2 linked regions of the Mus musculus genome follow. The protein of the gene in region 1 binds, or shares a complex with, the protein of each later gene. Links are inferred from orthologs where the notes say so. Each region holds a gene or a part of one and is shown on either strand. Other genes may lie near its edges.

What was found. Proteins that work in one complex are often made in the same cells at the same time.
Region 2: the proteins of Scn7a (region 1) and Scn3b are in contact, whole or in part, in a cryo-EM structure (PDB 7TJ9), measured with the Homo sapiens proteins. The link is inferred for Mus musculus from reciprocal best matches to the Homo sapiens genes SCN7A and SCN3B. Residues at the interface, in NP_002967.2 of Homo sapiens: Arg269, Glu293, Tyr296, Leu298, Glu299, Leu305, Gln315, Cys316, Pro317, Glu318, Gly319, Tyr320, Asn922, Ile923, Thr926, Cys927, Lys929, Ile930, Phe939, Ile956, Tyr957, Asp959, Gln960, Ile966, Tyr970, Met973, Ile974, Tyr977, Ile978, Leu981; in NP_001035241.1 of Homo sapiens: Val25, Cys26, Val27, Glu28, Val29, Arg44, Ile46, Lys50, Arg51, Glu52, Glu53, Val54, Asn95, Gly96, Ser97, Asp99, Gln101, Asp102, Phe126, Phe128, Ala130, His131, Pro133, Val135, Thr154, Ser155, Ser158, Glu159, Met162, Leu165.

What each region holds. Positions count from the first base shown.
Region 1 is NC_000068.7:66,690,911-66,694,410, reverse strand, and holds part of Scn7a (sodium channel protein type 7 subunit alpha), read left to right. Parts: intron 1-1,750; coding exon 1,751-1,905; intron 1,906-3,500. UniProt on the Homo sapiens protein: Sodium leak channel functioning as an osmosensor regulating sodium ion levels in various tissues and organs. While most sodium channels are voltage-gated, SCN7A is not and lets sodium flow through membrane along its concentration gradient.
Region 2 is NC_000075.6:40,275,716-40,279,215, forward strand, and holds part of Scn3b (sodium channel subunit beta-3 isoform a precursor), read left to right. Parts: intron 1-1,352; coding exon 1,353-1,516; intron 1,517-3,500. UniProt on the Homo sapiens protein: Regulatory subunit of multiple voltage-gated sodium (Nav) channels directly mediating the depolarization of excitable membranes.

The DNA.
Region 1 (3,500 bases):
CTAGAAGATAACCTTTTCCAAGAATAGCAACACTCAGCAGCAGCAGCAGCAGCAGCATCCTAACCCATTGACTAAGCCAACCGAGATAGTGTCTGACATAGCTGATACAGAAAGGAACTCTGAGAACTCGTGATTAGTGGAATAATATTGATAGTTTACTCAAATGTACATTTCATGGTATAAATAATACTAAGAATATATTTAAAGCTTTTATTTAATTGCATACTATAGCTGATAAAACTAAATACATTATAGTAGAGCAGGAAGTGTAGCTAAATTGACACTAGACTATATAGATTGCAAGTAAAATAATTTTGACTTCATGAATTGAGTCAGTCAACTTAATTTTCTATATACTTTATACAAAAATGGAGCATAATTATATGTTTATATATGTATATAAAGATTAGTACATATAAAATACAATTTCAGGGAGCTCTTTGGCACACTAGAATATACTATATGTTTCTTGGTGATTTATATTTCAAATTTGTTTACTAGCAAAATTAATAAATTACTAGAGATTTAGACTTGAAATCATTGCAGTCATTAAATTACTGTCAAAAATGCTCAATTGATAGCTTTAAAATAAGAATATCTGTGGTTCAAAATATGGCTCAGGGTGGATATGATATGGATAGAGCACTTGCTATAGAATCCAGAACGACCTGAACTTGCATCCCAATCATGTACATAAAAGCTAAGCTGGCAGTCATGTCTATCATCCCTGTGTTGGTGAAGCAGACACAGGTGGATCCAGGAGCCTGCAGGCCAGCCAGTCTAGTGGAAAAGAGGAGTTCCAAGTTCAGTGAGAGACCTGTCTCAAAACATAGATGTAGGAGTCGTTAGGAAAGACATCCCTGCATGTACTACCAGACACACTCACACATACACAGAGAGAGACAGAGACACAGAGAGACAGACAGAGACAGAGACAGACAGAGACAGAGAGAGTCTGAGAGAGAGACACAGACAGAGACACAGAAAGAGATGTATGTGTGCAGACACACACAAATTTTTCAACAACTTTAGTTCAAGGGCATTGATCAACTAAGACAATGGTAGAAATATATTCAAGGTTTAGTAGAGAAGCATATTCTGGCACTAAAATTAATTTTTTAACTTTATCTTACACTCAAAACCAGTTTTTCAAACAAACCAATAATCATTTACTTACTGAGCTGTAGATTTGTTTGTGCTAACTCTCTTACAAGAAGGCAGGCTTCTTACAGCTACATGTTCTGAACCCATGAAGTACTTGGATTCCTGAGTACCTCTGTAAATTCTCTCTCTCAGGTTCTCCATTTCTATGCTGCTTAAGAATCAATTTCAGGGAAAATGTATTGACTTACTAATATATATGTCAATATGAGTAATTGTGTCTTAAATGATTGTACTGAGTATTCAAAACATGATTGACAAGCTATCTCACATGTGTGCACATTTTAGGGTAACATTGGTGGACTGATTTCCTTCATATTAGTTCTTTTTCCTCTAGGGTTAAAGGACATTCTGTTATATTGAGCTTGTGTATCTAATTTCTCCGTCTTCCAAATCCACAAGTTCTGTTCTTCTCATTTCCTCACTCATCACAGACCACTGAGTGGCGGGAAAAAGCCAAATGTCTGTGAATCACAGAGCATCTGCATCAGAATCAGTAAATAAGTCAACAGTAAAGCATCCAAAATTGAGATGTTTATCCTTTGTGAGTTCCCTAAATGGTTGCTTCTAACAGTTCCATCCTTGGCAGGTTATGAACGCAAATCTTCAACTGGTCAAATCAGTAGAGAATCTAGGAATGGAAAGATTTGGAAAAACATCAGGAAAACTTGCTGCAAGATAGTAGAGAACAGCTGGTTTGAGTGTTTCATTGGCCTGGTCACTCTGCTCTGCACAGGCACTCTGGTGAGCTCTCAGCCTCAGGAAATGTCATGTGAAAATATGCTCTACGACTAACAATTCAGATTGTCACTATGCCAAATGACTTTACTCAGGATACTTAATATAACACCAGAGTTCATTTTCTGCACTCTGTTAGCATTACAAAATACATCACACCTTATTAGAAACATTGTAGATGATTAGATAGTAAATTTAATATCAATGTGATTTTAAGTTATATTAATTTTTATCAACGGTGTGTTTATGGTAAACTTTATATTTATAATATATACAAATGTTTAATATGAGTATTTAAGTAACAAAATTAAATAAACAATGATTTCAAAATGTACATTTTGTAATTGGAAAGGAAAGTGAAAATATATACTTGGTTCTACTGGTTTTATTAAAGTTTTACTCATTAATAAATTCCACAGATTAACACCCCCAAATTGATATAGTGTGCTTTTCTAAAATTGTAGTAAAAGCCACTGAAAATTGGTGTCTGAGAAGAAACAAATGAACGAGTCCAGGTAGCTAGCTATGACTTGGTTGCTAACAAGCATCAGAAGTCTACAACCATATTCTGACTACACACAATAAGTTTCTCCATGGGTAGCCATCAATTTGTGGATTTCTTCTTCACTTTATACATTTGTTTGATCTTCATAAAATCTTTTTCAATAGGATGTGCATGCGTGTTTCCTCCCCATCCCTTTTGTTGTATAGCACATAACTTTGCAGTGATGACGTAAGTGTCAGTCATCCCTGTTTGCCGGGTAAACACTTTCTTTTTAAAAAAAAAATAATTTCTTGGTACAAGCACTCAAAAAGTCAGTCAAATGACATCTCAGTTTATATGGAGCACCTACTATGACATCCAGTTTTCTATTCTGTCCAGGAACAAACACTTAAAAAGTCACTTATCTTATAGGTAGGGAACAGAAGGCTTGGACACCGTTCCCCCCCCCCCCAGGAGGACGGCCAGGTGCTCCTTGCAGTTTCTTTCTCCATCACAAGTTCCTTTTGAAGATATCATGCTATCTTCCTGTTGCTCAAATGCACAGGCTACAAAGAGTGTAGCTAAAATTTCAGATAACCCTTCTTTCACTAGATCCAGCTGAAAAGAAATAAGTAATTCAAGTCACCTTATAAATAGGTTAGACCAGTATTGTCAAGCGTGGAATTTTGCCTTTGGGCCTGAGGTGCTCCAGAGAGCATTGTCTTTTCTTAGTAGCAGAAAGTGCCTTTTCCCCTATAGCATCTTGTGAACTTTCCATTCCATTCCTTGTTTATGTATAATGTTCAATTCACAGGACATCATAATGTAGCAGGTTAAGTTGGTGTGCAGCTTTGTATCACTGGAAAGTATTTTCACAGCAGTGTATCTGTCCTCTTTCTCAGCCTTGTGCTGTTTCTTCGATTCAATGGCCATCTGAATAATGGCCCCTAATTGTGTCCATATCTATCCTCACTTAAATGACAAAAGATCCCTGACAATGTGACTAAATTCAAGATCTTGAAGAGATCCTAGGTTCTCCATACGAATCAGAATTAAGCACAGTGGTCCTTATGGACACAAGATGCAAGCATTAGGGCCAAAGCACTATTAAAATGAG
Region 2 (3,500 bases), on another chromosome or scaffold:
CAGGCCTGTAATCCCACCCCTCAGAGAGTAAATCGGGATTGTGAGTTCAAGGTAAACTTGGGCTACAAGGCAAGACCCTGTCTCAAAACACTGAAAGAAAAACAGATTAGCTGTGTCAAACTGATTTTTATAACTTTTAATATTGAGCATAATTGAATTTCGTTTCCATCTGCCAGGCTGAAATGTTGGAAGACAAGCCTGTTCTGTGTCCAAGTTTAGTATCCCGTGCTCCCCGACTTGCTCCTTATCAGGTCTTGCGGTCTGGTCTTCTCAGCCACTTTGGGTGTGGACTTATGGAACAGCTTCCTTTTGTTAAATGCAACATGCCATCCAGACTTGTTCTGAACAATTGCAGAATTCCTCCCCCTCCTTCCTTCTGCACACTGTACATCTGTTAATGTATCCCACGTTTGTTCTTGTTTGGTTGGCATCAATGCCCTGCTTTTGATTCATTCTAAATTTGCAATCTGACATAGTCACCTTCGATCCTTGGACTTGGGAGTTTCTAGAGGGTAGAAACCCAAAGTCCAAACCTCCATATGGTGGACAATGTGTCAGATGATCTGACCCCTCCAGAATTCTAATTTTGCCTCTGTACTCCGCACCGAGCTTGCTCCAGCCTAAGTGGTCAGTTCACCATACTCCCACTGATGTTGCACCGTCCTCCATGGGTCCTCAAACACAGATCTGATTCTGTCTCTCCTATAGAGCATTAGAGCACTTGACATAATACCCCACAGAGCACTGACAGGTCTTTTCAACACAGGTCGTATTGGCCTTTCTGTCTCATGTCCCACCAGCCCTGTCTTCCTTTCTCCCCAGCCAAACCCAAGTAACTAACTGCCTGTCTGGGAGAACTGGCCACCTTACTAAAATGACCCTTTGTGTGTTCTGGTTGAATCACCAAAGAAATGTTTTGTCGGTTGGGTTATATATGCATCGAGAGCATGGCTAGTAGGTTGTTCATCCTAGGATCTCTAATCCAGCATCAGACCAGGCAAAGAATGGATTTCTATGCCTGCTGGGTGTGTTCACATGGGTGAATAGTTGATGGATGGAAGCATGTATGACCCCACTAGACTGCAAGTCTTTTGGGGTCAAGCTTAAGACTATCCTTTGCTGCATCTTCATGGCTTCCAGTCACTGTTGAAGGATCCACTCCGCACCATCTTGCTCTAGGCTCATCCTGATCATGCATACTCAAGGAGCCCCAGTAATGGATACAAACATGGATCTCACTGTTTTCAAGTATGTCTCAATGATTTATTTTTCTTCTCTCTCTTTCCCCCTCCCTCCTCATCCCCCCCTGCCCACTCTGGCTGTCCCTTTCTTGCCACCCATCCTCTCTCCAGTCAGAGTCTGCTTCCCTGTGTGTGTAGAAGTACCCTCGGAGACAGAAGCCGTGCAGGGCAATTCCATGAAGCTGAGATGCATCTCCTGCATGAAGAGGGAGGAGGTGGAGGCCACCACTGTAGTGGAGTGGTTCTACAGGCCTGAGGGCGGTAAAGATTTCCTTGTATGTCAGACTGCCGCCTCTGGCTTTTCATGTGCTGGCCTATGGTGCTGTGTGCCTGGTTCCTAACAGTCTGGATAATGATGCCCTGACTTGCTCTCATGCCTTTCCTGAACCCTGACATCTTCTCAGCAGATAACTGACAGCCTTGTATGAACCCAGGGTCTTTCAAGGTAGATCACTTGGGCAGGGGTGAGCAGCCCTGGTTACAAGCAGGAACCATTATAAGAGGGAAACATATCGAGAGAACCTGTGTGGGCTAGGCTCCCAGGTAGACCTTTTATGGGTATGGTCATCTTCTGCACAGTACTATGAAATGGATTTAATGAAACGGAAAGAAAGAACACAGGCAACTTCCTGAAAAGTAGCTCAGGTGAGTTCTTTGAACTCTCACAGTCCCGGTGAAGCAGGAGCAACTTGGGGTGACCGCAGCTTGTGTCAACCGCTATGCCCAGGACAGCCACCTCTGTAAGTAGGTGCTTAGCATGTTCTTGCCCTGCTCTGTATCCCAGGTGGCCATGCTCCATTCTTATCTAGGAGGAATCCTCAGTCTTCCCCTCCCAATGATCTTGACACCAAAGGGTTCATGCCTGGCAGGAGAAGAAGCCCTGCAGGCTCTGTGCCAGGCTCAGGGCCAGGGTCAGGGTCAGAGTGAGGGTCAATTTCGGTTCTGGTTTGGGACAGTACTCATGGGGCTGTGATTCATTTAAATCTTTGTCAATACTTTCACTGACTCTGGAGCCAGGCCATCCAGGTTCCATTCTTTTCTCGGCAGTATTTAGCTACATGCCCTTGGTCATATTTAACCTCTGATTTTTCTAATTATTTTTTTCTTTTAAGTGGGAATAAAAACAAAAACTTCATTTGGGGTTGTTACCAAGAGTCATGAGCTCTGATTTTTAATGCCCTTAAAATAGTCCTTGAAATATGATAAGTGCTTGTTAGAAAGAAAAAAAAAACCACGAAACTCAAAAGAGGAACATTAAATTAGATTACATACACACATTAGATTTTTAGATTTACATACACACATGCACATGAGTTTAGATTTGCACATGGTGGTCTGATGGCAGACCCAAGTCTCCTTATCTTGATTTCTCTTATTTTCCTGGGTCTCTCCCACAATATTTAATGAAGACAACATGGTGGAAGTGACTTTCATCTGTTCGTTCTTTCTTTCCCCTTCGGTGGGCTCATTTCTGAATCTAAGTTCCATGTGGCACTTGCATCTAAGTTGGCTCCCTATCTGGTGCCAAAGCAAGGGCCAACAATGACTTTTTAGAGTCTTAGAATCATATACCAGGGAGGGTACAATTCAGATTAATGCCCAATTTCTAGGAGGCCAGAGGTCTTGGCTCGATATGAAGGGCCCATGGGGTTTAGGCCTGTGCGCTTGCTAGCCGCATTCACTGCTTCCACACCGTCCCAACCAGTTGACCCAACCGAGGAACTAAATTGTGGTTAATGTCTAGGAAATATGAATTCCAATTTCAGTCACCATCCATGGCTAGTGGAGACTAGATGAAAGCAGTGTGGTGTCAGAGAATGTTTGAGCTGGAAGCCGGGAAGACCTGACTTTGGTTCTAACTCTGCCCAAAGCAAATGCTCTCCGAGCATCTCTCCGTGGTGAGGTCTCAGCTCACGGGGCACCCTTCAGCATCATGCATTGGCCTGGCCAGGTTGTGCCATATTCACCATGGTAGATGGCATCTCAGAGCGTCAGGTTTCAAGCTCAGGGCTGTCAGGTATCTTCCCTGTTAACACAGTCGCCTTGTTGGTCTCTATGTCCTTCTCCCTCCCTGGCTGCCTTATCCCATATCTCACCACCCTTTACCTGCTTTCTGTCCCCAACCATTCGTTTTCTTCTTCCTAGTCTCCTTTCTTCTCCACCCCACTCCTTTTTTCTCCCAGCATTCTTTTTGACTACTCTATGCTGCCTCTCCCCTTACCATGCCATCTGTTTGCCTCTACCTACCTTGCTCTGTCT